2 linked regions of the Caenorhabditis elegans genome follow. The protein of the gene in region 1 interacts with the protein of each later gene in a pairwise test. Each region holds a gene or a part of one and is shown in the gene's direction. Other genes may lie near its edges.

Evidence for each region.
Region 2: the proteins of cdc-48.2 (region 1) and ubxn-6 interact in a two-hybrid assay, tested with the Caenorhabditis elegans proteins (one study listed by BioGRID).

What each region holds. Positions count from the first base shown.
Region 1 is NC_003280.10:8,132,294-8,147,721, forward strand, and holds cdc-48.2 (Transitional endoplasmic reticulum ATPase homolog 2), read left to right. Parts: upstream 1-6,202; 5' UTR 6,203-6,217; coding exon 6,218-6,289; intron 6,290-6,337; coding exon 6,338-6,663; intron 6,664-6,709; coding exon 6,710-7,685; intron 7,686-7,737; coding exon 7,738-8,456; intron 8,457-8,515; coding exon 8,516-8,855; 3' UTR 8,856-8,937; downstream 8,938-15,428. Other genes in the region: ulp-4 (Ubiquitin-like protease 4), read left to right, coding at 1-545, 594-761; ctns-1 (Cystinosin homolog), read right to left, coding at 2,586-2,711, 2,953-3,183, 3,569-3,859, 3,907-4,147, 4,198-4,389, 4,481-4,614; ints-11 (Integrator complex subunit 11), read right to left, coding at 8,993-9,346, 9,393-9,476, 9,523-10,753, 10,805-10,935, 10,978-11,004; rpl-10L (Large ribosomal subunit protein uL16), read left to right, coding at 11,591-11,836, 11,885-12,067, 12,114-12,329; F10B5.2 (Protein AAR2 homolog), read left to right, coding at 12,508-12,709, 12,756-12,847, 12,893-13,237, 14,371-14,601, 14,654-14,857; btbz-2 (BTB domain-containing protein), read right to left, coding at 15,070-15,400. UniProt on the Caenorhabditis elegans protein: ATP-dependent chaperone which probably uses the energy provided by ATP hydrolysis to generate mechanical force to unfold substrate proteins, disassemble protein complexes, and disaggregate protein aggregates.
Region 2 is NC_003282.8:4,801,695-4,817,122, reverse strand, and holds ubxn-6 (UBX domain-containing protein 6), read left to right. Parts: upstream 1-7,635; coding exon 7,636-8,172; exon of another isoform or gene 8,173-8,654; coding exon 8,655-9,056; intron 9,057-9,105; coding exon 9,106-9,216; intron 9,217-9,269; coding exon 9,270-9,533; 3' UTR 9,534-9,697; downstream 9,698-15,428. Other genes in the region: srw-94 (G-protein coupled receptors family 1 profile domain-containing protein), read right to left, coding at 1-28, 363-616, 1,635-1,761, 1,807-2,085, 2,270-2,488, 2,544-2,638; srw-95 (G-protein coupled receptors family 1 profile domain-containing protein), read right to left, coding at 3,094-3,135, 3,186-3,315, 3,689-3,936, 4,014-4,140, 4,188-4,466, 4,628-4,846, 4,894-4,994; eif-1.A (Eukaryotic translation initiation factor 4C), read right to left, coding at 5,443-5,708, 5,756-6,040, 6,088-6,187; H06H21.37 (uncharacterized protein), read left to right, coding at 7,159-7,332, 7,428-7,575, 7,626-7,639; H06H21.11 (uncharacterized protein), read left to right, coding at 9,831-9,913, 9,967-10,315; dpf-5 (acylaminoacyl-peptidase), read left to right, coding at 10,555-10,841, 11,430-11,745, 11,798-12,307, 12,633-13,078, 13,127-13,271, 13,737-14,140, 14,187-14,292; dpf-7 (Dipeptidyl Peptidase Four (IV) family), read left to right, coding at 14,575-15,390. UniProt on the Caenorhabditis elegans protein: Probably acts as an adapter for ATPase cdc-48.1 and/or cdc-48.2, conferring substrate specificity. Involved in the lysosomal clearance of cellular material in diet restricted conditions.

The sequences.
Region 1 (15,428 bases):
TTCTCAACGATACGATGATCGACTTCTATTTGAATCACATTGTTGAACACGTACTACCAGACAGCAATGGTTCAAATGTCACTGTTCTTCCATCGATATTTTGGCATAATCTTTCTTTACGGCAGCACGCCTTTGATTCTGAAGACGAGAAGATGATGAGTGATGAGCAAAAGATGGATCTCAAATTCGGCGATTTGCATGATTTCGTTGCTGATTTCGATCTCCAAGATTTTGATTACATTGTGGTTCCTGTAAACGAGTGGGAGCATTGGTCATTGGCAGTCATATGTCATCCGTTCACTGCTCAAGCTCGCACGGTTATCTTTGATTCGCAGCTCACTGCGGATCTTAACAACCTACAGAACATGGCTACATTAATCGAATCATTCATGAAGTATTCATACGAGAAACGTACCGGAAATGCTATGCCTTTTCCATTGCCGTGCATTTTACCACAAAGAATGCCTCAACAAACCAACAATTTCGACTGTGGTATTTTCATTGCAGAGTTTGCTAGACGTTTCTTGCTGAGCCCGCCAAAAGATGTAAGTTCATTCTTTTTGACTGATCGTTATAAAAAATATTATGTTTAGCTCGACAACTTCGACTTTGCACGAGAATATCCAGATTTCTCAACGGCCACGAAGAGAACTGAAATGCAACGAGTTGTTCTATCACTATCCACGAACAGAGCTCGTTGGCGTCCGCTTGTCGAATTGCTCAATGGCTATAGCACTGCCGCACCTCATCGTGCACTTTAAGCATATCCTTCTGGAATGCATACTTTGTCTCATATGCCCCGGTTCTTTACCGTCCGTCTTCCATTTCTCATCCCTTCCTGCCGAATTCTCCCACTGAAAAGTCTTCCGAAGAACTGTTTCTCTGATGTCTGAAGGCTTTCGTGACAAGGGAACCTTTTGTTATATTAACCCATTTTCACTCAAAAAACCACCAAAAATTTTCAAAAAATATCTCTCCATTTCATTGTTGACCCTTGTTACTCTGTTTTCTTCTCCTTATTTCTGTTGTTAACCACATTCACTTTTTTCTCAGCTGATATCCGTTCATCATTGTTCATCGTTGAACTATTTATTCGGCGTTTCAGTTTCCCCGTTCCCGCCCTTCACCGACTTCTAGACACAAAACAGGTGTTCCGACAATTTGCGAGTTTATGTTTCTTCGTTCCTTTACGATTCCATTCTTTCCGACTGCGCTTATATATCTGTAAGTATTCCATCGTTGTGATCAGTTTTTAACTTTTCTCAACAATAATCGGTTTACCTATAGTATCACGTCACCTCCATTTCTTCCCTTAACACCTCCATTTTCATTGAATTCAAATTCATATCCCAGCTTTTTCTTCACCTCTTCCCACTTTACTGTTGCCTGCCTTAATCCCCTTCTATCCACCATTTAGACACTTTCCTTCAACATGGAAGATTGGGTTTTCCGTGCCCAAAACTCTACGTTCACATGGGTTTCGTTGTTTCTTTGTTCCAGCTTGTAGTGTGAGAGATTTGTGTTTCCTTCAAAAAAATGTCTTTAAGGTGAGTGTGGAGAATGATGATGATTTTTTATGAATTTTAAAAAGCTGAAAAGTATTAATTAGTGAAGATAACTGTTTTTATGCCTGGTAATTCATAAGATGACATTGTCTGATCCCTCTTACTTTTCAAATTTTTTCCATACCCTTGCAATCTGTACATTTTTTGTTGGGTATCTAGCATTCAAATACTTGAAGATAATTTATGTCACGAAATTCCATCACAGCGTTGCTCTCTAATGACGAATCTTGTTTCTGTTTTAGTAGTTATTGGAGATCAGCGCTTTCTTTTCAAAAGTCGTTGACAAAATGTCCTTTCAAATCTTGAATGTTGGTGCATTTCATTGTTATTGTAAAAAATATCAAGTCTCCCGCTCTCTTTCTCGTTCGAATCTTATGTTTTTCTTTCGTTTTGAGCCAGCTACCATCTCCCTGTGCTTTCACCCTCTTGCTACACTTCTTTAATAGTTTTGACTGTCGGATCCATGACACAAATTCCAAAATATATTTGGTAATCGAATATTGAAAAGAAATCAAGAACGACATTTCTCAAAAATTCATTTTCAATCTTCAATTGTCATTTAAAATTTTGGTGTCCGCTGGTTTTCACATCTTGTTATATTTATGATTTCATTTTCTTTTTTTGTTTTTTTTACTAGCGCCTCGGTTGATTGGATGATATGGGTCGTATCGTTTTTCTACATTTTTGATTTGATAATATTATTTTTGTCAAACTTCCATGTTATTCGTTCCTACCGTTTTTTTCTCCCGTTTTCCCAATTTTTATGTGGTTCTCTTTCTTTAGATTCATAGGGTCTGTCCTCATATTGTTCCAAAAAAGCTCTTCTAAAAATCGTTCCATGTTGTAAAAGATCTTGAGCAAAGGCAATAAACTGTTGATTAAAAGCTTAAAAATCTTATTTCTCACTGAACAAGTTTATCACCGTAGAATCAATATTATTCAAATCACGATATGCAATAGAAATTTTGAATATGTACAACAAAAGGCACCGAGGAGGGCAAAGAATTTGAATATTATGATCTAGTCATGTACAATAATAGGTTCCGTTGACTCCATCGATTCACTGTCGCCGGCATATTGTTCAGCATCACGAGCAATATTGTCTGGATTGGGATTGTCAACACCATGATATTCATTGTGTGGAACCTTCAAAAAGTTATATTATTTAAAATATCAGAATTCAATTAATTTTTAAAGATTTAGTAATCTAACATAAAGTTGTTGGTAAGTAATTATTTTTTGAATTAAAACATATAGAAACATTCAAGGAACCTGATCATAACTATTAAAAACGACTCGTTTCCTGATTTTTCTTTGGTTCCTGAAATTTTTTGTTCTATTCATAATTTTTTAAAATAATTAAAGGGATAAAAACTAATTGACTCACTTCTGCATTTGGATACAATACATAATGTTGAACCATGAAAATGATGTCAAAGAATATTGAGACAAATCCCAGTCCGAATTTGACGGGATTCGCATAAAATGCAGACCAATCGTTCACATTAACTGCTTGAAGAATCATTTGAAGAATATCGAGAGTTCCTCCTGTGAAATCTAGCATGATGTTTCCGATTGACCATCCAACTGTACTTTTTCGGGTATAGTTGAAGTAAGCCTGAAATTATTTACAATTTATTTTAGATCACTTGTATTTTTTAAAATTAATTTTCAATAGTTAAATATTTTTTGATAATTTCTCTACGATTGGATAAAAATATTTTCGATTGAATAAAATTATAATTTAAATTAACATGTTTTCGATAAAACATCATTTTCCCAGCTTTTTTTCGTGAATTTTTGATGACGATACAGTACTTTTTAAGGCGCACAACTTTTTGAGTTAAACAAAATCTGTCGTATCGAGACCGGATACCGTAGTTTTGGCGCAAAATTTCGCGGTCAAGTTTTGAAAACTTTTTTGGAAAAACTAGTAATTTAAAAATAATAAAAAATAATTTCAGGCTAGAATACTGTTTACAAATGGACAATATGAAACAAACCTGTGGGAAATATTTACAGCAGGTTACAGCCATTTTTATGTACGACAAACTGGTCACAAACGAGAGCAATTGAATTTTCCTGAGAACCGTGGCGGCAGCGGAGCAGAATCCAAAAGAGATCAGCACAATCATAAGGGCGATACATTTTGAAGAAACACTCTGATTATCACGTTCATAGAATAAACATTGAAGAATTGTGATAAAGCAGGCAAGAAATGCGTGAACAGCGAACACAACATCGTTCAAAAGTACTGGTGGCGGTGACCGAGGATTCACAATATTGTATTCATTCTGAAAGAAGATGAATTAATTTTAGTTATTTATTTTCTAGTTCTCACCTTTACATGACTATTATAATACATTAACAGATTGAAAATAGCATATGCACAAAATCCGACAAGGTTCAGAGATAAGAAATCGAAGTTTAGCCCGACGACGCTTTTTCTTTTGAAATTCAGATACATTTGGGGATAAAACGAAATACTCCATGCGAAGAAGTATGTCCATCCAACAATTTGAATCAAAATGGCAAGAAAGTGAGAGCGAATAACTGTGATTCTAGCAAACGCATCTTCAAGACTGGAAATGAGTTTTGATTTAATTTTTACAATATATAATCATCGACTCACTCCAGAGGACAAGTAATTGACCCATCTGTAGTACAATTGAGAGCTTCTAAAATAGCTCCGGACACCAATTGGCTTCCTAAAACTGTCACATTAGCATTCCAATTGTCAACGAGAATAGCATCAGGATGGGAGATGTATGGTGACTGCGAGAGGGAGATACGTGTTGCGTTCAATGATTGTGATGTGTGGTTTCTGAAAATTATATTGATTGAATACAGCACATGTTCGTATGATTGTTTTTATTTTATAACCTGTTGGATGAAAAATATTATTAATAACTCACTTGATCTGGAAATTAACAGAGACTTCTCCTCCAATTACAATTTCCAATTCTTTCTGTCTAACAACTAAATTATTTGTCGCAAATGTGAATGGAACCAAGAAGAGAACGAGCAAAAATGCCACCGGGAAACTCATTATATCATTCTGGAAACAATTATACTTCAAAAAATGGAAGCAAAATATAAAACAGGAGTTGTGAATAGAGAAAACGACGCTTTATATCATCAGTTTTGGCATTGAAATGAATCAATAACATAAATTGAGCGAGAAAAAGAGAAACAGCAAAATAGTGAAAAACGAATGATTGACCGAGAGAACGGGGGAAGGTTGGAATTTTTGTAAACAAACGAGGGAAACATCATGTTGAAAACATATATATACACATTTTTTATTTAATGCGTCGGAATATTCAGAAAATCGTTCAGATCATCGATAATTTTTATTGATAAAAGACCAAAAATCCAGTTTACATGAGGAAAACAATACACTGTGAATTTTAAAGAAAATTAAATATTCCAAAAAAATTTAATTTAATTTGTAATTTGGGAAACTGAAACAATAAAACACTATCGAAAACTTAAAAAAAAACATGGATTGAAGCTCAAAAAAACTGTTTTAATGTTTCGTTTTGTAGAACTTTAGATTTTTGTAAAGCGGGAGACACCACGAATCCGCAAGAAGTTTCTTCCAGAAGCAGATTCGCTGAAAAAAAATGAAGTTGTCTTAAACCTGATGCTTTTTTTTGATAATTTTTATACATTATGTGGTTTCCTGGTTGGCCATTTTGTTAAAATCATTATTTCCTGTAATAAAAGTCAGGCGTTCTCAGTTATTTCCAGATATCGGATTCCTAAAATAGCTGAACTCCAAAAAACGGTCAAGTCTCTGAACACCAAACGCGCTCCTTCGAACAAAAAAAGCAGCGCGTACGTTTAACGAACAGTTTTTTCTTCTAGAAATTGTTTTCTCATTGCGCAATGCATTGCTCATTATAAATAATTATGTTTTAAACAGTTGCTGGGAGGTTTTCGCTATCTCAGTCGTTGTTAAACAATTACCAGAGTGTGTTATCGTATTTATCTTTGCCGTATAATATCTTTTCCATATTTATGCGATTGCGGAAATTTACCACTGACTCTGCGGAAACTGCGGAAATTTACCACTGAAATATCACTCATATCGTACGTTTCTTTGAATTCGTCTCCTTGTTATTCAAATTATGTCTTCGTTTTTGAACGAGATATTTACCTCTAGCTTTCTAGATCGTCACATCACTTAGGTTCGCCTTGAACTTCTGTTCCGCTAAAGACGGCTGGTTCACATATATTTTTAACAATGTAATTATTACTTATGACCCGAATAAAACGGTAGAACGCTTTGTGAAATTATTCGAAAGCAAATGCGCCCCAAGGAGAGAGTGTGAATGAGAGGCTGCGTTTTGTCATCATGTAGAGGCAGCATTGGGGTGTTCTGTAGAGAACTTAGTCTACGTGTCTCATCTTCCATATTTCTTAATTTTGTTCTATTGGCTCTTTTTGCATCTCTTCTTTGATTCGATTCTTTAACTGAATTAGATCAGAAATTATACTTGAAGTTTTATCTTGAAAACCTACTGTAGAAAAGTTTGTCCGTGTTCTACTTTCTTATTAGACTTTCGCGTTTCGGCCTTTCCTATGTTCTACCCCCATCTTCCGTTCTTTTTTATTATTCCAAGATTTTACAGAGAAGTCGTTTAACCATGGCCTCAGTTCCGACTCAGAGAGACGAGAAGGAAAAGAAGAATGATGAGCTGGCTACGGCTATCTTGAAAGTAGGTTTTTCTCCAAGGTAATCATTTCAATATAATTAACTCTTTCAGGACAAAAAACGCCCAAACAGACTCATTATCGATCAGTCTGACAATGACGACAACTCCATGGTCATGCTCTCACAGGCCAAAATGGACGAGCTGGGACTCTTCCGTGGAGATTCGGTGATTTTGAAAGGAAAGAAACGAAGAGAGACTGTCTCTATCGTTCTTAATGCGGACAATTGCCCGAATGACAAGATCAAGATGAACAAAGTGGTTCGAAACAACCTCAGAAGCCGTCTTGGAGACGTTGTCAGTATCTCAAGTGCTCAACTCGAATATGGAAAAAGGGTTCATGTTCTTCCAATTGATGACACAATCGAGGGATTGACTGGGTATGTTCTTGCCACGGAGAAATAAAGACTGTATTTTTTATTTTAGAAATCTATTTGATGTCTTCCTTCGGCCATACTTTACCGACGCCTACCGCCCAGTGCACAAGGGAGACATATTCACTGTTCAAGCTGCAATGAGAACTGTCGAGTTCAAAGTTGTCGAGACGGATCCTGCTCCGGCGTGTATTGTTGCTCCAGATACTGTTATTCACTATGAAGGAGATCCAATTAAAAGAGAGGAAGAAGAGGAGGCTCTCAATGAAGTTGGATACGATGATCTCGGAGGTGTTCGTAAACAACTCGCTCAGATCAAGGAAATGGTTGAGCTCCCACTTCGCCATCCCCAACTTTTCAAGGCTATCGGAGTGAAACCACCACGTGGAATTCTTCTGTTCGGTCCACCAGGAACCGGTAAGACACTGATCGCAAGAGCTGTCGCCAACGAAACAGGAGCATTCTTCTTCCTCATTAACGGACCGGAAATTATGTCTAAAATGTCTGGAGAGTCGGAATCGAATCTTCGTAAAGCATTTGCCGAGTGTGAGAAGAACTCACCTGCTATTTTGTTCATTGACGAGATCGATGCGATTGCTCCAAAGAGAGAAAAGGCTCACGGTGAAGTCGAGAAGCGTATCGTCTCGCAACTTCTCACACTTATGGATGGACTTAAAACTCGCGCTCATGTTGTCGTGATCGCCGCTACTAATCGTCCTAACTCTATTGATGGAGCCCTTCGTCGTTTCGGTCGCTTTGATCGTGAAATTGACATTGGAATCCCTGATGCTGTTGGCCGTCTGGAAATTCTCAGAATTCATACCAAGAACATGAAATTAGGAGAAGACGTTGATTTGGAACAAGTTGCAAACGAATGCCACGGATTTGTCGGAGCTGATTTGGCTTCCCTCTGCTCTGAGGCTGCTATTCAGCAAATTCGCGAAAAGATGGAGCTGATTGATTTGGAGGATGATACAATTGATGCTGAAGTTCTCAATTCTTTGGCGGTCACTATGGAGAACTTTAGAGTAAGTTATCATTTTTTTGCACTTAAGAGACGTATCATTAATCATTTTTCAGTTCGCAATGGGAAAATCATCCCCATCTGCTCTTCGCGAAGCCGTTGTGGAAACTCCAAATACTACTTGGTCCGACATCGGAGGTCTTCAAAACGTCAAGCGCGAACTTCAGGAGCTCGTTCAATACCCTGTAGAGCATCCAGAAAAGTATCTCAAGTTCGGAATGCAACCATCTCGTGGAGTTTTGTTCTACGGTCCACCAGGATGCGGTAAAACACTTCTCGCTAAAGCGATTGCCAATGAATGCCAGGCTAACTTCATTTCCATCAAGGGACCCGAGCTTCTTACTATGTGGTTCGGAGAATCCGAAGCTAATGTTCGCGACGTGTTTGATAAAGCTCGTGCTGCCGCTCCATGCGTTCTCTTCTTTGACGAACTCGATTCGATCGCAAAGGCCAGAGGAGGAAGTGTAGGAGATGCTGGAGGTGCTGCCGATCGTGTTATCAACCAGGTTCTCACTGAAATGGATGGTATGAATGCCAAGAAAAACGTGTTCATTATTGGAGCTACCAATCGTCCTGATATCATTGATCCAGCTGTTCTTCGTCCAGGACGTCTCGATCAGTTGATCTACATTCCTCTTCCTGACGAAGCATCTAGACTTCAAATTTTCAAGGCCTCACTCCGCAAAACGCCCCTTTCCGCCGATCTCGATTTGAACTTCCTTGCCAAGAACACCGTCGGTTTTTCGGGAGCCGACTTAACCGAAATTTGCCAAAGGTTTGTTATAAAAATTAGTTAAAAAAATATTCGCATTTGTCAATTAATACCATTTTCAGAGCATGCAAGCTTGCCATTCGTGAATCAATTGAACGGGAAATTCGTCAGGAAAAGGAGCGTCAGGACAGAAGTGCTCGTGGAGAAGAACTTATGGAGGATGAACTGGCTGACCCAGTTCCAGAAATAACTAGAGCACACTTCGAGGAGGCAATGAAGTTCGCTAGACGTTCCGTGACTGATAACGATATCAGAAAATACGAGATGTTCGCCCAGACTCTTCAACAATCTCGTGGATTTGGAAACAACTTCAAGTTCCCAGGAGAAGCTCCTTCTGCTGGACAACCTGTTGGAGGAAACGGTGGCTCCGGTGGAAATGACGATGATGACCTGTACAACTAGATTTCGCTAAAATTGTTTTATTCTATTTATTGTAAATGCATCCTTGCGAGGGTATCAAATGTTCTCATGAATGTTAAATTTATTTCCAACTTTTACAAGTAAAAAAATCGTAACCGTAAAAAGTATTTGTTAAAATCTTATGCTTTAACAGAGATAGCAGGAGGGACCGGGGAGGATTCGGGTGAAATGAGATCAGTGATGGCTTTATGGATAACCTTGAACCACTGTTCACGGCATTCGTCCCAGATCAGTTCAAGCTCTGTTTCATCAGAATTGTTTGCTAAAATAGTGATTTCTCCATCAAACATTTCAATGCCGTCGTCTTTTAGTTGCAAGTGTGGATCATAGAGTAGAAGCTCGTTTGATAATTCCTTCCAATTCACTTTTTTGCCTTTGATGATTTCTGACAATGAGAGAGTGATCGGCATGCAGTTTTTATCTTTTATCAAATCTTCTGATTCTGCTGTAGACATGATATTCAGTCGTTCATTCTAAAATTATTTGAAGTTATTGCAAAATAAAGTTCAATAATCTTACTTCTTGATCGTAAACGAGCTCGGCGACAAATGGGCATTCCGATTTGGCAGGATTCGGATCGAGGCTTAGGCTTCTGTCAATTTTCTGGAATTTTTTATTTGAGTTCAATTTGTTTTAGAAACACACAAACCTCAAGTGGAACTCGTATATCAAGCTTCGGTTGAGCAGAAATCACTACAGTCTCTCCGTTTGCTGGCATGTGAACAGGTACTTTGTACTCCTTTTCCACTTTTCCTTTCAAGAACTCCATCTTTGAAGCTTCGCCGTGCACAAACATGACGTGTTGAGGCTCACATTGACGGATAAGCTGCATAATTCCTTTAGCATCAGCATGAGCACTAAACGACATGTATTCCACACCAAGTCGAATTTCGTGCATCTTTTGATCAATTTCAATTTTCTTTTCGCCATTAATAACTCTTGCTCCAACTGTTCCAGCGACACAGTAACCAGGCATAATGATCATGTTCAGAGGATCTGAGCACCATTTTTTGAAAACTTTGAGCGATTGACCTCCGTGAAGCATTCCAGGAGTAGAAAAGAGAACCTGAGGTCCTGGTTGATCTTCACATCCCTTTTCCATTGGTTTGATATGCTTGAATTCGAACATATTTCTTTCTACGAAAGTTTTCTTAATGTTCTCGTTGGTCCAGCTGATGAAAAGTCGGTAATACTGATTTGCCCGTTCTGCAAGACCTTGGGAAAAATAGATTGGTACGTTGAGAGCCATTCTCTCCCAATATGATTCAAGCAGGATACACAGCTCCTGCGCTCGTCCCAAGGCAAAGACTGGAATAATTACTTTTCCTCCTTTCATCACACATTCATGAACTTTTCGAAGGAAATCTCTTTCTCTTGCCCTTTTCGAATCACGGATTGTGGTCGCATATGTTGACTCAGAAATAAGGACAGTTGGTCTAACACCAGGAAGAACTCTCGCCGCTCCAAGATGCCTATCTGGAGTCATGTTGTAATCACCAGTGTATAGAACAGAATGATCTCCAAGTCGAATTTCAAACATTGCAGCTCCAAGAACATGTCCAGCATAAAATGCACGAATAGAAAGTTCGTTGTCAACGTGAATAATTTCATGAAGTGCACATCCGACAACCTTTTTCATACAATTCTTGATGTCATCTGAGGTGAAAAAGTTTGTCTCGCCTTTGATGTCACATTGAACTTTTCGGTAATCTTCCAATAAAACTGGGCAAATGGCTTTTGTAGGGTAAGTCATGTAAATTGGTCCGTCGTATCCCACAATTTCGCTCATATGAGGCAAACTTCCACAGTGATCCAAATGAAAATGTGAAATGATGACACAATCTAGGTAATCAGTTAGTCTTCCACCTCCACCAATATACCTGAAAAAGTTATTATTTTAGATTTGAATTGAATAAGCTTGCAGAACTTACGAAAAGTCAGGAAATCTTCGATCATCTTGGTATCCCATATGCATTCCACAATCTACCATAATATTCTTTCCACCGATAGTAATAAGAATACACGACCGTCCAACATCTTGTCCCGCACCCAGTGGAACAATCTAAAATTGTATTTTTTTTCAGAAAAGTCCTTCAGAACTCACCTTGATTTCAGGAATTTTGTCGGGCATTGTGAAATATAGCTATAAAGTTCTAAAAATACTCAATTTTAGCCTTGAGTAATGAATTAATTGCAAAAAATGCCTTCGCGAAATAGGATTTTAATGAAAAATCTTTTTTGTTTGTCCGAAATTTCGAAATGAGTACGGTGCACAAATGTCGTCAATTGTTATGCTTTGTATGTAGTTCACCGACGGCAGTGAACATTAGTGTTGTCCTCAATTTCTCTTTGGCCTAAAATTTTTCTCTCGATTTTCTCTTGAAGCAGTGGATTTTTTGCCTTTTTGTTTTATTTTATACATTTTTTTCTGATTTATCATGATTCAAACGTCAGTTATTTAAAACTATAGCTCTCATTGTCTTAAATATTGCAAACGAAATTTGTTTGAATCATTTCGAAATTCGAAGTCATGTTTGATATTGTTTTCCTATTATCCACTGTTTTTAGTTCTCGAATCAATAATGCTTTGACAGTATTTCGAAATAATGATGACAATTCTTGGCGTGATGGTGACAAAACATGTTCTTTGATTCTCTTCTATATATATATATTCTCCGTTTGTCGTAATTTATTGTAGTCTTCTCAATTTTCAGAACATGGGTAGACGTCCAGCGCGGTGCTACCGCTATATCAAGAACAAGCCATACCCAAAGTCCCGCTTCTGCAGAGGAGTTCCGGACGCGAAGATCAGAATCTTCGATTTGGGAAACAAGAGGGCTAACGTTGACACCTTCCCAGCATGTGTGCACATGATGTCCAACGAGCGTGAGCATCTTTCCTCTGAAGCTCTCGAAGCCGCCCGTATTTGCGCCAACAAGTACATGGTCAAGAACTGCGGAAAGGTAAGACAAGGATTTAGTTCAATTTTTCATCCAACCTGTATTTTGTAGGACGGATTCCATCTCCGTGTTCGCAAGCATCCATTCCACGTCACCCGTATCAACAAAATGCTTTCCTGTGCCGGAGCTGATCGTCTCCAAACTGGAATGCGTGGAGCTTACGGAAAGCCACAAGGATTGGTCGCTCGTGTCGACATTGGAGATATTCTTTTCTCCATGAGAATCAAGGAAGGAGTAAGTTCCTCCACTAGAAATATCAGGTGCTAATAATTGTGTTCAGAACGTCAAGCACGCTATTGAAGCCTTCCGTCGTGCCAAGTTCAAGTTCCCAGGACGTCAAATCATCGTCTCTTCCCGCAAGTGGGGATTCACCAAGTGGGATCGCGAAGACTACGAGCGCATGCGTGCTGAAGGAAGACTCCGCTCCGACGGAGTTGGAGTTCAACTCCAACGTGAGCATGGACCACTCACCAAGTGGATTGAGAACCCAATCTAATTTGGTATCCACTGTATTTGTTGAAAGCAAATAAATAATTTCTTATGTTATATTTTTCTTTGTTGTTTTTCCAATCATGTAAAATTCGTCAAGGTATTATGCGGGTAGATCTATAGATATAACATGCACTACGTTTTAGATGAGCGACAACACTGCGATCTTGCTTCAAGCTATGCGAATGGGTGGCGCATTGCCTCCTGAAATTGTAGACTACATGTATCGCAATGGAGCTTTTCTTCTTTTTCTGGGATTTCCGCAGGCTTCAGAGTTCGGTATTGACTACAAATCATGGAAGACGGGAGAAAAGTTCATGGGTCTGAAAATGATTCCGCCTGGAGTTCATTTTGTTTATTGCAGCATTAAATCTGCTCCAAGAATTGGTTAGATAGCGACAATATTACATTTTGTGAAACATTTTACTTTCAGGATTCTTTCATAACTTCAAAGCTGGGGAAATTTTGGTAAAGAAATGGAACACAGAGAGTGAAACATTTGAAGATGAAGAAGTTCCAACTGATGTAACTATTTAAATTCATAAATTCTATGTCGTAGTATGTTTTCAGCAAATCTCTGAAAAGAAGCGTCAACTGAAGAATATGGATTCATCACTAGCCCCCTATCCATATGAAAACTATAGAAGCTGGTATGGTCTTACTGATTTTATCACGGCCGACACTGTCGAAAGAATTCATCCCATACTTGGTCGTATCACTTCACAAGCAGAGCTCGTCAGCCTTGAGACTGAGTTCATGGAAAATGCAGAAAAAGAGCACAAAGACAGTCATTTTCGAAATCGAGTGGATCGAGAGAATCCAGTTCGGACGAGATTCACAGATCAGCATGGATTACCGATTATGAAGATTCGAGAGGGATACGAAATTCGATTCCAAGATATACCACCTCTCACGGTAAATTTTTTTTCGTTTTTGCTTTAAAAATATAAATTTTCGAGTTATGAGAAAAGTTTTAAAATTAGTTTTTTTATATTACCCAGACACAGTGTTGCGATTTTTGTGCCTAAAATTATTATCCGGGGTCAACACCAGGGCTGAGCAGCCGCCCAAAAAAAATCGGCGATCGGCGATCACAAATTGCCAAAAAAAAATCGGCGATCGCCGATTGCCGATCAGTGTGCGTCTAATTTTTTTCAATTTTAAAATCCTAATTTTAAGAGCTCTTTCAAATAATTTTTTATAAAAACAGGAATATTAGGCAACGAAAAGCACTCCTTGATACCTTAAAATTCGAAAAGTAGTGAAAAATAGTCCGAAAATATACCTTCTTCCTTCTTCAGAGGGGTCTATCTTGGACTATAAAATTTCATCGGCGATCGCCGAAAAATCACGAAAATCGCCGATCGCCGATTGCCGCTCACCCCTGGTCAACACGACAAATTTTTGTTGAATCCTTTTAAAGAGTACTGTACTTTCGAACTCGTTTCTTCGGAATTTTCATCGATTTGTCATAGTTTTTCGATGAAATTTTTTATCTACTGAAAATCGTAAGAAAGATTATGCAAAATCGACGAAATTTCTGCAGCTTGTAATTCAATCGCACTTTCCAAAAAATTTGTCGTGTCGAGACCGGATACTGTATCGGATTTTCTAAACAAAAAAAACCTGAAATTTCGCGCATGGGTAACATCTATAAATATGCTATATTCAAAAGGTTTCTTTTTAAAAACATCTTAGTATCCATTGAACACGATATTACATAGCTAAATATTTAAATTATTTTCATTTAATGTCGGAACCAGTAAAAAAGTTGATTTGAAATACTAATTCCTGTATGAGTAATTTTTTTAATGAAATTTACAATAATTCCAGTTTTGTCGAAAAACTTATTTCTAAAAAAAAATTTTATAATGCTTTTTAAAGTTTAATGTTGTTTTTTTTCTTTGAGAAAAAAATTATCAGAGTTCCGAATTCCATGGGAAATTGCTTGAAATATGGCAAATCTATTTAGTTTTCTGTCTTGTAATAAAAAAATAAAATTGTTTTTTCTAAAAATGTATTTAAAAATAAATATAAAAATATTTCAGGTTAGCCAGAATCGAGTAGGAATTGAATATTCTGATCGTCTTTACCGTCTTCTTCGCGCTCTCGGTGGTGATTGGAAGCAATTGCTGGCTGAAATGCAAATTGCATTTGTTTGTTTTCTGCAGGGACAAGTTTTTGAAGGATTCGAGCAATGGAAACGAATTATTCATTTGATGTCGTGTTGTCCAAATTCATTAGGCTCTGAGAAAGAGTTGTTCATGTCATTTATCAGAGTAAGAACATACGGAACACAATTAGAAAATACTTCAAATACATAAATTACAGGTTCTCTTCTTCCAACTCAAAGAATGCCCCACTGACTTTTTCGTCGATATTGTTTCTCGTGACAACTTTTTGACAACTACTCTCTCAATGTTGTTCGCCAACGTCCGAGACTCTGCACACGCCGGTGATGATTTGAAAAAGAAGACTGCCCAATTCAAACAGTATCTCACGAATCAATTCAAGTGGGATTTCAATTGTGATTAATATGAAGATCTCTCGTGGAAAATTGCATCTCAATTTAAATATTTTTTTTTAATTGGTTTATTGTAAAAAAAGAATTTTGAAAATACAAAGGCACTGGGTATTTAGAAAGAAAACGTGAACCAATTTCAGAGGTTGGGGGATCACAAGCATCTAAAGCCCTAACAAAAAAATGAAGTAGTAAAATATAGGTCATGATTTGGAAGAAGATCAATTCAATTAGATAATGGAGTATTTAAGTGAAGCATTAATGACTGATCAATTAATGGTTTCACATCTAAATCAATATCAGTTATCATTGGTTCACCATCACTACTACTTGATGTAGATGTTTCTGAAGAATTATCTGCAAGTAATCCTGAACATTGTGCAAGTTCCTGAGCATGCTGCATTGCCAAATGAATGAACAGAAGATCTGTGGAGTGAGTGGAGAACGGGCACAATGAGCATTGAATCGGAATATTTCCAGCTGGATTTGTTGGAGCAAAGATTGAGGAAACATTCGGATCAATGACGTCAGTAGTCATTGTTGGAACAATTTTCTTTCTGAAATTTGGAAGATATCTTCATTTCA
Region 2 (15,428 bases), on another chromosome or scaffold:
AATCTGGCCAACTGACGTGGCAAGTCTCCTGAATTTGAATTGTTGGAAAACAGTTAACGAATTATTTATTCAGAATTTGACATGAAACAGTTTTTTCTAACAGGAGTGTTCACTGTCAGAGTTTTCAAAGCAATTTTTTAAATCAAATTATATAATTTTTGGCGCTGTATCAAAGCCTTTTCTCATAAACTTTTCCTCCGTTTCATTATAGATGTAAATATTACTGTTTCAATAAATATGTAAATTTTCAGTGGTCAAAGAAGATTCGATTCTAGTACATGTTTTTTAGATTTATAGTAATATTTGACAAAATTTCACAATTTCAATTGACAAAATTAGTATTTATTTAAACAAACCCTCACCAGTATCCCAGGTCAGTATATCCAAACTGTAAAACTCGAACAATTCCGCCTGGAACTTCAATAACAAACGTAGAGACAGTCATAAATACCACTAGCCCCGTGGTTCTTTCTGTGCTCGCAACTCCTTGTGAAAATGTTTCCGGGAAATTTCCGAGCCGTGTAGTTGAATTGAGCATTCTCTGGTGATCCTTGGCTTTACGGAGCTCAGCAATGAGAAGAGTGGTTAGGATTGGAAGAAGGAAACATGGAATCAGCTGGAAATATTTTTAATTAATTGGAAAATTATGTTTCATATCGCTCTTGTATGATCTGAAATTTGACTATGGACAATTCGTTCGCGGTATTAAAAGTGGTGTAGTCGGATTTTTTTTATTTCTTTATTAGACTCAAAATTGTCTGAAAACACCGAATTTCATAATGAAACTTCTTGAAAACTTTTCCAAAAAAAGTTATGGCCTCTCGAAAAATGGCCTAAAATTAGTGAAAATTTGAAATTTGACCAACTTATCATTGTCGCAGCGGCTGGAAACAATTTTTTTTTGAAATTGTCGTCTAGTTTTGGGTATACAGGTCGATTATCTTGCGTTTTCAACTTTATTAAGGTATTTAAAAGTCGATGGACGAAGAGAATTGGTAAAAAATTTGACAATTCTCACTCACTAATTTTAGGTCATTTTTCGAGAGGCCATAACTTTTTCCTCAATAGTTTTTCAAGAAACTTCATTATGAAATTCGGTGTTTTCAGACAATTTTGAGTAATAAAGAAATAAAAAAAATCTACTACACCACCTTTAAGTGTTTTAATAAAGTTACCATAATAAACGAAATTGAACAGCTGTTTTTCTTGAGCACATTTCGGGGAATTATGTTTTTTGTGTTAGAGGTTTTGTGTTTAAGTTAAATTAATTCTTATCTGTGTGTTTTATGTCAAGTTGAGGAAAGATGTAATCCTCTTTGGACCTCCTTCACTTGGGTGCTTCCTACTTTAAAAACGAAAACTGCTGGTCAAATCCGAAACCACGTATTCAAATATTTTTGTAACTACACTTTCATTCAAATTTCTCAAATATTGATAGCAAAAAAGCAGAAAGTAAAAAAATAATCGACCGCGCAATTGCTTTGGTATTTCGTAAAAAACTAGAAATTTTTGAAAAATCTTCGTATGGAATCGTATTGAAAAAACAAATAAAAGGAGTCAGGAGCTATGGTAATTTTGTAAATTTAATTTATATTAATTGAACTTAAAAATGGAGGGTACAATTAATCACTTACCTTTGAAAATGTACCATTTATGAGTTGATAAACTTTTCCAACCAGCCCGTCATTGGCTGTGTACACTTCCGACTGCACAAGATTATAAATATTGAGTGAAACAGTAAAATTAGCAGACTTTGAACAACTGAAACTTAGATCAATCAATAATTATTTTAAGTTATATAATCACTTATTCAATGGCTTCCAGTCTCCAATTTTTACAATATCGTATCGGAAATAAAATATAAAAGTGAGAGGGAGACTTAGAGCAAGTGCTCCCATAAAAATGTAAGCTCCAAACTTTGAAAGTGTGACTTTTCGAAATGCACGTCTAGTTGAATACTTCATAACTATCCAGCGAATTAAAGCCATGGCTACGCTGAGCCACGTGGAACATCGACGAAAAAAATCATTGATTACTATATTAATCCAGTACATATGAAATGGTGGAAGAGATAAAGGAGGCTCACTGAAAAAATAGGCACAGTAGGTAGATCAATTGTGGAAATTTTATAAAAATTACTCCGCCAGGTTAAAGAACATAAACAAGTAGTACAAGACAATCGGATTAAAAACAGAAATAGGTGGAGCCTATTTTTGATTTTTATAAGGAACATCGATAACTGGCCTATATCTTTTAGTGGTAAACTGACCAAGGTTTCACATTAAATTCTATCATTAAATACAAAATATTATAAAACACAGAAGCCACCATTGCAAGTATATCACAAAGAGCCACTCCCATCATTATCAAAATTACTGAAGATTTCAAAATTGATTTTTGAGATAAAACGAATAAATGGAAAGATGTGGTAAAAACGCCAATAATGGAAAATACTATATTCAAGGCAATAGATGGATGAACAAAATTTCTGAAACAAAAATGAAATATGATCTGGAATTTAAGCTGAAAAAGCTTCAACTTACTCGACGGTTTTTAGAAAGTGATAAAGTTGAATTTTAGTCGCATTATCATAACTTGGAAATGCTGAAGTCGCTAGGTTATAGGTATTCTCATCCATTTTTTTTTGGGAAGAATTACCAAATTGAACGGAATAATTTTTAATCAATGCCACTTGCATGTGTGCTGTTGTTATAACAGCAGTTGTTTCACCTGTCGTTTGGTGCTGAAATTTGAAGCTTGAGCTTCAGGAATTTTGCTCAACAAAAAAAAACAAGGAAAATATTGAGTCAGTTAGTATTGTAAGCGGGGAGACCTTCGAAAAATAGTATTGCAGCCATATTAATAGAAGAAATACGGTATATAGGTTTTATAAACATGTCATTTTCTAAAAATCATTTTGTCATGAACAAGTCTCATAGATTGTTCTGTTATTATAAATATAGTGAAACCGTCATCAAATGTTAAAATATTTCACTTCATCTTTACACTATTTCAATTTGAGTTTATTTTCCATTTTTCGGAGGACAGTTAAATTTCTTTTTAAATTAAAATATCAATAAAGTGGAATTGTGATCAGGTGTAGCTAGAGCTGACTGCAATGATGATGGGTGGTCGCTGGAATAAAAATAATTTGTAACTTAATGAGCCCAAACTTTGATGGTTACATCATTCTTGAATATTTTTGAAACTGCCCTCCGATATTGTGATGACATCAGAAAGAAGATGGCGCCTTGAAGAGCCGCGTGTAGAACAAAGAAGGCACTTGAAAATTGTGCAACGGAGGTTGCCATTCTCCTGAAAATTTTGATTTCTCAAAAAAAGAATTCCCACACAAATATTTCCAATTATTCTATCACGTTATCACTTAAAATCTGAAAAAAATTGGAGTCCATCAATGCATTTGAACTAAATGTAGATCCCTTTTTTAATAGGGTTAACAAACCAGAATTATTACGGTTTCACTAAATGCATAAAATTACAGCAAAAAAGTGGAAAAATGTTAATCCTTTGAAATTATATTCGCTATAAACATGTCGTATAGTTTGTATTATCATTATAATTAAGAACAGACGATAGATTAAATATGTTTGTTTAACTTTCGGGTGGCATATGTTTTCATTATTTTCAAATATTGCCAAAATTAATTTCTAATTATTCAAACCCTCACCAGTATCCCAAGTCAGTATATCCAAATTGTAAAACACGAACAATTCCATTTGGAACTTCAATAAGAAATGTAGAAGCTGTTATAAATACGACTAGCCCCGTGGTTCTTTCTGTACTGGCAACTGACTGGGTTTCATTGATAATTACTGGTCTTATAGTTAAATTTAACATTCTCTGGTGATCCTTGGCTTTTTTGAGTTCGACAATAAGCATATAGGTTAGAACTGGAAGCAGAAAACATGGAAACAGCTGAAAATTATTTTTATTTTTAGGAACCAAAAATTAGTTCTTGGTTAATTGCTTTAGTAAAAACAAAATTATCCCACTTTGGAAATTGTTCCATTAATCAATTGATATACTTTTCCTACAAGTCCATCGTTAGCCTGGTAGACTTTGGATTGTACCAAAGTGAAGATAACACGAGATTCTGGATAACTCGTTGCAAATGTGCAACTGAAAGTGTATTTTTAATTAGGCAAAGGTTGTTAAATCTGGATTACTTATTCATAGGCTTCCAGTCTCCAATTTTAACGATATCGTATCGGAAATAATATATTACAGTTAATGGAATGCTTGATAACAACGTTCCAATAACTAAAGTGAATCCGAATTTGGGAAAATTAACTTTTCGAAATGCTCTTCTCGTTGAAAACTTCAAGACGATCAGTCTGATTGTGGCCATAACTACGCTGAGCCACGTGGATGTTCGACGGAACAAATCATTAATTACTACATTGATCCAGTACATATAAAAGAATGAAAGTGGTGCAGGTGGTTCACTGGAAGTGGAAAGATGAGTTGATTTAACATCGGGTTACAAAAGTCAAGTACTGTTTACTACGTGATCTCTTTAACTACGATTTAACCACATAGATCTTTTACTACGTTGGGTTACTGTAGTAGTACTGTGGAACTAAGCTTTTGAATAAATGTACTTTACCAGGGTTTCACATTAAATTCCAAAATCAAATAAAGATAGTTATAAATAATAGAGACAAACATCACTAATATATCACAAATAGCGATTCCTATCATTATCAAGATTACGGACGATTTTAACATTGAATTTCGAGATAAAACGAATAAATGGAATGATGTTGTAAAAATCCCAATTGATGAAATTACAATATTAATGATTATTGATGGATGGACAAACTTTCTGGAATTTGACGGTAATATTACGGGATTTTCAAAGCTAAAACTTGCTCAACAGCTATAAGAAAGAAATATAAATCAATTCTAGTCGCATTATCATAGCTGGGAAATGCAGAAGTTGATAAGTTATAAAGAAGCACTCTGTCAATCATTTCATTCAAATTCAGCTTAAAATAACTGAAATAAATAATTTTTACTATATGAATACACGTGGCCGCGAGTTGTGACATTTTGATGCAAATGTTTCACCTGCTTTTCGGTTTGAAGGTCGAGAGTTGTGTGCTGCTTTAAACCCATAACAAGAAAAGTTTATCAGAAAACAATATAAATGAAAGGAAAATAGTGGAATACGGGATAATTTGCAATAAATGAGTTGTTTCATCAAGTGGTGTCCGATGGACCGAAACCTTGAGGTTGTGTTGATCATCGGACACCACAATCGAATTATTTCACTTTGTAGCATTCAAGTAACGGAATTTCGGGAGACAGAGAAGATGGGAAGATAATGTCTGAAAAGGATCGAAAGAGAAACAATGGATTTTTAGGGGGAGAAAGAACAGAAACCGGGGGAAACAATTAAAAACCAATAATTTAATCAATTTAGCGTCTCTTTCCGTACTTGTTCTTGCCACCACGATTTCCGCCGCGACGAGTGTCCTCTTTAAATCCACGACCAGCTGCCAAGTCCTCTTCCCGAATATTGTCCGAATCATCTGAATCTTCGTCTGATTCCTCTTCAGAATCATCGTCCGATTCTTCTTCCTTATCCGATCCTGCCTCTTCGTCAGACTTCTCCGAATCACTGTCTGATGAATCTGAGTCAGACTTTGCTTCTCCGGCCTCTCCCTCGTCTCCGACGTGATCCACTGAAAAAAAATTGAACTTCATTAATTTTCAGCAAAAATAAACTTACAGAACTCAACCTCTCCCTCGTCTTGTTCATCGTTCTCATTGAGCTTGGCGTTTTCTGGGATAAGTCCCTCGTTCTTCAAACGGCGAGCTTCATCTGGGGTGTACTTCAGAATAACATCTCCCTTGTCGTCTTGATAATCTCGGAGACCGACGAGAATGATATCTCCCACGTTGATCCAAACCTTCTTCCTCAACTTTCCACGAATATGGCAGACACGCTGCTTTCCATCAAAACAGAACACTTGAACACGACCGTTACCAAGCATTTTTGAGACTTGTCCATATTCTGGAATTAATGCTTTTGTTTTTCGGGAAAGAAGTTATAAAATCTACCTTGTCCCTCCTCCTTGAGGTCGAGCTCGCGCTTCATGAAGTCGTTCTCATTCTTTCCTCTTCTGCGATTCTTTCCTCCCTTTCCCTTATTCTTCGGCATTGCTGAAAATATTACGAAATAATTTGGAAAGTTGAAGTTACGAGAAATACAGAAGCAAAGAGGACTGCAAAAATTGTAGAAAAAACAAGAACATAAATATGCATAAGGTAATGTCAGATTTCAATGGAATTTAACAAAAAATTAAGAAGAATGAGTATACTATCCCAAAATAAACAGTTTGCTTGGATTTCGTGAGTATTTTGATGAAAAGTGATTTCTAAAAATTGGAAATAATAATTTTATCAGCGCTTGAGATTAAAATTATGTCGTCAATCGACAAAAATAAACAAAATAACAGAAGAAAAATTTCAATGAAAAATCGACGAAAATGTGGAGTGCACAGAAAAGTGGGCGGGGTTTGCTATCGCAAGAGCGCGGCGCGAGGTTACGTAACTGCGGACTTGGCGACACAATTTACGACACTCGCTATTTTTATTTTTTATTTTGCTTATTTTTTATTTTTCTCTCTAAAATTTTGTTGTTTTAACGAATTGTTTTCGGAAAAAAGTTATTCAGAATCAAAGATTACTTCATAGAATATAATTATTGTCCAAAATATAAAAGAATTGTAAGATAAACATCTCAAAACGAACATTTAACCGCAAAAACGTATTTTGGGAAAACAATCACAAACTTTTCACGCAAAAGTGTTTTACCTACATTTTTTTGTAGTTTATTAAGTCACAAAATTAACGACATCATGAAAAATACAGCAGATAATATTTTTCTGTCCGAAAGCTTTCCCCAGTTTAGTTTTCTCCAATAGAAAAACTCCAAGTTTTTTATAGCGTTTTCGAGATGAGCTTTTTTTCAAATTTTCTGAAATGAAGTTTGAAGTTTGTATACAACCCAAAATATATGTTTATCACCGTGCAATATCACAAATGTCGTCATCGCCTTCTGTCCTATTTCGCAATCATTAATTTCCGCAAATCTCTCTGAAAAAGAACTACAATTCCAGCTATTCTTGCATGGGAGAGCCTCTGGTCGCCGAGCCGACAACTGAGCAGACTCCGTTGAGCACAAATTCAGTTGCTTATCAGAGCTCCGACGCGCTTCCAGATTCCTCAGAAGCATTCGGAGTAGAAAACGTTTATCGTGCTTTGATTATCTTCTGTGATAATTATTCGTTGGATAAAAAACAAGTGCGTTAGAGAACATGTTTTTGAGATTTTCGAAATTTTAACGTGAATTATTGTTCTTGTTTCTGTCTAAAATGGCCAAAATTTGAAAATTTCAGGTAGCTCTCGGACTCTTTCTTTCTATTCTACTTTTCATCTTCTCTGTTGGCACTATCATTGCGTGGAATCGATATTCACCAATCATTCAGGAGTTTATCATAAGAGAGAACATTGAGAAAGCGAGAAATAAGAGCAACGAAAAAAATAGTAAGATATTTAACAAGTTCTGCACTGATAACCATTCCAATTTATTTCAGAGAAAGAAGAATGAATAGTTTCAAGAAATTCCTCAACAAAAAGCGAGTCCAGAATCACTTCAAAAAGAGCGGTGAAGGTGTTCGTTTGTCATCCGGCGAGTCATCTTCGCAGCCTTCTGCCCACGCTGGAGCCGCCCAGGGAGGCCAAATTGATCGTGTCGCGGCCGCTGATATTGCTGCTCAGGCTGCTTTCAAACGGATGCAGAAGAATGAACCTCAACAAAATGCTGGAAAACGAAGAATTCAAATGATTGCAAAACGAGAGCTGGAAGAAGAGAGACGTCAGGTTGAAGATCTCAACATTTCTGGGACTTCATCACTGCAGCAACCCGACCGTGAGCAACACCTCGAGCATTCATCCGCAATATCACGTGTTCTCTACACTTCCGAGTTGCTCGGTGAGCATCATATTCGCTCGAAAGCAGATCTTCTTGAAGATATCAAAAATTTCCTTTCTGATCAGATCAGCGAGGCGGATGATGAAAACGATAAAGTGATTGCCGCAGTTTTGATGCTCTATTCACTTAATAAGAAACATCCCAAGGAGGTTTGTGTATGCTCAGAATTTCAAAATATCGAAAAAAAATGAACTCATTCTGGCTAAAATCTCCAATTTTGTCAACTTTTGTGTGTTGCAGCGGTCGGAAAATGTTTTTTAATCTATTGTAATAGTTTCTCACATGTTATAATAACGTTATTTCGTTATTTAGCCAATTTGATCATTTTTAGCTAACAATAGGCTAAAAAAGTTACTTTGTTAACGGAATATTTCGGCAAATTGAAGAGTTTCGCTAAAATTTGCCCGTTTTTTTTTTCTCAAAATTTTGAACCGCCATCATAGTTTTTGTGACATTTTTGTCACATTACCGTTGAAATTAAACTATCTATCCGCAAATTTCGCAAAAATCAGCGTCGCACAGAAAGAAAAAATCAACACGGATTTTTGTAAATCTGCGAATCGGTCGTTTCACCTAAACTGTACGAAATTCGTTGTTTTGGTAGAAAAACAAACAATCTTCTAAATTTCAGACTGCCATCGAAACAATCTGCAAGTATTGTCAAAACATTTTGGAACACCCAGGAGAGGATAAATACAAATCAATTCGTTTGGGAAATAAGGCATTCCAAGAACGAGTTGCATCAGTAGTTGGAGGACGTGCATTCCTTGAAGCTGTTGGATTTACTGAGAAATCTGAAGGAGAAGACAAGTTCCTTGTGTTCACAAAACCATCAGATGTTCATTTGGTGGAGGCTCTGGAAGCTTTGAAGGATGGGCAGGCTGTGCCTATAAAGGTTGCTAGAAATCTAGAGATCTTCAAGCTAAAAGAGGGGCAAAAACCGAAAGCACCAAAGTTGGCAGATGATTTTTACAATTTGTCGACTGCTGAACTCAAAGCCGAACAGAGAAATAAGGAGATGCAGGTGGAGAGAGTGAGTGGAGCTTTAAATTGAAAAATCACACAATAAATTGAATTTTTAGATGCTGACATTGCGTACGAAGGAAATGAGACAAAAAGACGAACAAATGACCAATTATCGCTACAAATATACGTTGATTCGTGTCAGATTGCCTGGAAATTTGTTGATGCAGGTATGTATATTCCAGAAATTCAAGTGATTAATTATTTTATTTTATTTTTCCAGGGAGTATTTGGTTGCCATGAACCATTTTCCGCAGTCCGTGTCTTCGTTGCTTCAACTCTTTCCGATGCTCTTTCGACATCCGAATTCACTCTTCGTGACGCTGCCAGTCAACTCGTGGAGGATGAATCTGCATCGTTGGCTCAACTCAGTCTTGCTCCAGCTGCTCTTCTTCATGTCGTCTTCGCTGAAAACCTGTCTGATTATGGACAAATCGTTGCCGATGAGCATATCGAAATTATCCAGGAGCTTGAAGCTTCCGACTAATTTTTGTATAATTTAAAAATATAATTCCCGGCTATTAGTGTGATATGTTTGTCATTATTTTTTTCCGGTACTGCTGATGTTTTATTTCGCCTAATCGCTTTCGTTGTATTTAACTTATAAGATGCAAAAAGATTCGAGCAGCATATTAAAGATTTTGTACAGAACCGCACTTTAACTGTTTCTCTATTCGTTGTATATCGATTTTTATTTTGAAAATTATTCACTCTATCAAGAAGAAGCCGAAATTCCGCCCACTGCATCTTTTTTCAGTTGTGCTTCTCCAAAAACCATTTTCAGATGTCACAGGATCCCACGATCTCCAATTTTTTAAATGGAAAACCCATCATCGCACCTGTCGGGCCATCTTCTTTATTAACCAGGTTACTTTGAAGCAATTATTTAATTTTTAAGAAAAATTAATTCGAAATTTAAGATTACAATCGTTCCTGCCTCAAATGGAAGAAGCCAATCGAAATATGCCGGAAAACGCGTCAGCTGACGCTTTTCATATTGAAAATGTCGAGGATGACAGCTCGGACGACAGCGATTCGAATTCAGAATCGATTTCGGAAGAGGTACCTGTCACAACTGACGAAAAGAGCACAGCGAGTAGTACACAGAGGATTGAAATTGATTTAGACGTGTTCAAGGAGATGAACAGCGCAGTTGATGACAGAGATGTCGGAATTCAGAATGTCGAAGCTCTTCCAGAAGCATTTCAGTCAAAAGGAGAGGATTCGAAACCGGAAATTACAAAGAAACCGTTGATTGAAGAATTATGAAATTTATGTTTTTTCTATTGTTGTGAATTTTTTGTTGAATTTGTTACTTTTTGACCTACCCCTCGAAACATTTTCTCACATTGCGAAATGAATCAATAAAATTTCGATTTTAGATTTTTATTCATTTATCTCATTGGTTTCTATCCATTTTTGAATTACCTTCCCATTTTTATTTATCTCTGCCTTTTCTAAAATTCTCCGAAAACTTTTCCGAAATGCAGCGTCTTCTCCTTCGTAAAATGTCGTCTGCTGTGGTGACAAGTGCAGCTGAGTATGATGTGAGAGCGTTGGAAAAGCTCAAGGATCTTTATGGCGATCTGGCACAAATTCCGATTCCAACTCAAGGACGAATCGAGAAGAAGTCAGGAGATGAGTTCATCAAAGTCACCACGACTTGGGATAACCGTGCCATGCAGCTGAATAAGTTGACTCGTCAGCAACGTGTCAGCTTGATTGGAAAAAAAGGACCGGAAGTTACGGATCGGTATCTGATGACGTCGGTTTCGGTGCCAATGTGTAATTATGAGTTAGTAAACAATTATTCGGAGATTGAATGGAGTCTGTGGGAATTTTGCCAAAAATAACAGAGAACAGTGACAATATGACGAATAGAACTGCTGAAATAATTATAGAATTTCGCTAAATTTTTTATGTTTTCTTTTCATTTCGCGGAAAACCCAATACTTTCTTTAGAAAACTGCATAATATTTGAGTGTCCGCGTGATGCATACACTTACGCACATAGTGCGTCGGAGAAAACGCTCCTGAATTCACTTTTTTTTTTGAATATTCCATTTTCTTCATTCTTTCAGGTATTTCATGCTTTTTTCGATTATTTATCACAAATATGTAGTTGAAATTGTAAAACTAGTTAAAATTTTCCTTCTTTTAATAAAAATTGAATTTGGGAGCGTTTTCTGTGACGCCTTTTTTGCGTGAGTGTAGACAATGCGCGGGTGCTCTAATATAATTCAATTTCAGCCAAATTGAAAAGATTCCATGATTATTTTAGCGGTTTTATTCGGTTCGTTGATATTTTTTCTCTTGGTATGAGAAAATACCCCCGGCAGACGCTACTCTATCTTTATGAATATGGAATAAATTCTAATTTCAGAAACCAAAGAAGTGTGTATTCCGCATCAAACTCCCGTGTTGCTCAACTTCTGACCATCGGAACTGGAGACGATAAGAAACAATATTTGAAGATCTACAATCTTGAGGAACATGTGGAAGAGCTTTGCGCTGATCTTTCCACTCAGAAAAAGCACGGAACAATTCACGGTGGTGGTTGTATGCCGTTCGGATGCCTTCACTTTTCGTACGGGGAGGGGCATGTTTTGTACGTGGCTGAGAGAAATTCGAAAACTTCGCAATACTTTGATGCTGATATAGAGTGGGATAACGAGACGAAGGTTTTCGAAAGCAAAGTGGTATAGATTAAATAAAAAATATAAGTTTCGATTTCTAGAGAATTATTTGCAGGGCAAGAAATTCGAGCTCACCGAGTCATGGGGAGAGCAGAACGATGGTGTCAAGCAGCCGGTGATTTGCATTGTCGACATCTCCAGTGGAAATGTGACAGCTCTCGATCAAATTCCTGCGAATATTTCCCCATCCTACACGAAATGGGCTCCAGGAGATGCTGGCGTTGTTTTCTTTGGCCTCGAAGAGCAGGACACCCCACGGCTTGGCAGAATCTACTGCAACAATCGCCGTGGAAATCTTTACTACTATGAGCTTGCGACCGCAAAGCTGACGAAGATCAGTGAGGGTGAAATCTCGGCTGAAGAATTGCAATTTTCGCCCGACGGAAATACTTTGGTGTGGTTCCAGAGAGCAGCAGATGGACCACATCAAGCAGTTCTTGAAATGGTAGCTGTTGAGTGGCCATTGAAAGTAGATTCTGCTGAAAACATTGAGAAGCGAATCATTGTTCCGATTGTGAAGGAGAAGAGATCTGCAGACGAATTCCAGGGATTCACATTCCCACAGGTACTCAGGCAACTCAAATCTAATATGAAAATATTAAATAGCAATATTTTTGTAGTAAATACGAGAAATAGTGCGTCCATATAAGATTACTAAAAATTTCGAATAGATTTCGATTTTGTCTCAAAAGATTACTAATTTGTCTCAAAAGACTGTGAACTCATCTCCGAAGATTGAGATTTTGTCTCAAAATATTGAAAATGCAAAAAACTGCTTCATCGAAGATTTTTGGAATTAAAGTTTTTTCCTGTATTTCGATATGTACATGAGGAAGGGACAGAATATAAGGCAATATAATTACCGATTTTTCAAAAATCAATATTTACAGACAGCAACTCGTTCTTGGTCTACTGATTCCAAGCGTCTTATCCTTTCAAGTTCCTGGTGCAGCAAGTTGGAACTGCTTTCCGTTAACATCGCAACTGGGAACATTGAAAAATTAACCAATCACTCCATATGCCTTGGAACTTGGTCTCTTCTTGATGTCTATGATAACGAAGTGCTCGCAGTCGTCTCTGCTCCGAATCGCCCACCAAACGTTCTTCTGGGACAACTTCCAGGGACAGGAAAAGCCGAGGAAATGGTTTGGGTGCGAATCGACGAGGCGAAGGCTGTTGATAAACGTCGTCATCTCTTCGAGTTCTCCTGGGAATTTGTGAATCTTGAGCGTGACGGAGCGACTTACGAAGGAATTCTGATTGTTCCAAATGAGGGAAACAATCTTCCAATGGTTGTGAATCCCCATGGTGGACCTCATGGTGCATCCATGGCAAGGTGAGTTACTTTTTCCCTTTTTTAAACGTTTTTCATTTAAAAGTTCAGCTGGCCACGTCGGGATCTTACTACTCTTCTCAACTCTGGATATGCCGTCCTTCAAGTCAATTTCCGTGGATCACTCGGATTTGGTGACGATTTTATTCGTGCTCTGCCTGGAAACTGCGGAGATATGGATGTTAAGGATGTTCATGTAAGGAGAACATTTTTTTAAAACTTTCTCTGTGTTATGGCAAGACTCAACCGGATGTTATAAAGCTTCAAAGTTCCGAAAATCAACCTCTTCGCCCGAATAACTTGAATTTCGCGCAAAAATTAACCCACTTACCGATTAATTTATTTTTCTGGAATTTAGTCGATTTTTCGTGTTTTTATATTGAAAATTTAAATGTTTTCTGACAAAACTTTTAACAAAAGTCAAAAATAATACGAAAAATCGTTTTTAGATTCAAAAAATGAATAAATCTATCCGCTGAAAATCCATGAAACACATTTACGCGCGAAATTTAAACAACGATAATGATTTTCGGTAGTTTGAAGCCTTTAAACATCCGTTTTAGACATTCTTGTGCTGTTTTGCATATCGTTTTGTCAAAGAATTTAGAACGTTTATTCGACTACACCGCATGTATTATCAATGTAATTAATACTAATTCAGAACGCAGTTCTCACCGTCTTGGATAAGAATCCACGTATTTCTCGAGACAAGGTTGTACTCTTCGGAGGATCTCATGGAGGGTTCCTGGTGTCTCATTTAATTGGACAATATCCAGGATTCTACAAAAGTTGTGTTGCCTTGAATCCAGTCGTCAACATTGCCACAATGCATGATATCACTGATATTCCTGAATGGTGCTATTTCGAGGGAACCGGAGAATATCCAGACTGGACAAAGATCACGACCACCGAACAACGGGAGAAAATGTTCAACTCTTCGCCAATTGCTCATGTGGAGAACGCAACTACTCCGTATCTCTTGCTCATTGGTGAAAAGGATCTTCGTGTCGTTCCTCACTACAGAGCATTTATTCGTGCTCTCAAGGCTCGTGGAGTTCCGGCAAGGTATTCTTGAAAAATTGTTTGCAAGAGAAATTGTTTTTTTTTTCAGGGTTCTCACCTACCCACCATCGAACCATCCACTTGATGAGGTCAACGTTGAGGCCGACTATGCAATCAACATGGTCCGCTGGTTCGAGAAATCACTGTCTCAGTAAATATACTAATGTCTATATGTATTTATCTATTCATCGGCTGCTTCTTTTCCTGCCCCCGGTATTTTTTCATTCATTTTCCCGTGATATTGCCTTGTAAATCTCTTATATATGAACGGTTTGTATATTCTGGAGGATTTCAGTTTTTCAACGGTTTTGGTTTTCCCATTTTTAATTATTTCTAGTGGAATTTCTAAATTGAACATCTGAAATTCCTAGAGATTTCTTACATTTCTTACAGGCAGTCAATATTTAGCAGCTTCATCATATACGTGTACAACTATAATGTCTACAGACGAGGAGGTCCCGTTGGCCACTCGTCAAATGCATGAAGCTTTTGTCACAATCTCACAACAAATGCTTCAGTTCCGGGTGAATACTGCACGTATCACAACTCCTTCCGATTACGAACCACAAGAAGTTTGGGTCATTTACGAGACATTAGAGTGCCCAGATCAACGGCAATACATGAGATCACGTGGATTAGTGTCGAGGAATAAACTTTGGATGTTAATGGAAACGGAAACGGATAAAGATTGGAAATACTTCACCCATATATTTTCGGATGATTGTAAAGTCTGCGTATTCGTAGCAGAATCCATAGAAATGGGTCACGATAAGGATGTTATTCAAGTAGAAGATGTTCAATATAAGAAGGCAAAATTCACGGTAGCTCTAGTTAAATACGTATATCATGGACCTATTATTGTGACAGGACCAAATGCTCATTTCAAACTTTCTCGAAATAATAAAAAATTGCTCTACTTTGCACTACCAAATGAAGAACAAAAGGAAACGCAGGGACGTGGTGAGCGCCAATTTGTGATATGCATCTTCGATTTCGATGCGAAAGGAGTTACAGTAATCACTGATGAGAATATTTGTAATCAGACGATCACAGCAGTCGAATGGACGCCTGATGGTCGGGGAATCGTATTTCATCGAGGACAAGACCTTCTCTGGCACAGATTTGGAGAGAAATATATAAATGAAATATCAACGAATCTATCGGCTCCGTTGAGGATTACTTTCTCGCCAGATGAAAGTCGAATGGCTGTATTTCTACGACCGAATATTCACAATGATGCTGATATTATTTTGGTTAGATATAGGAAATTCAAAAGTAGACTAGACACAAA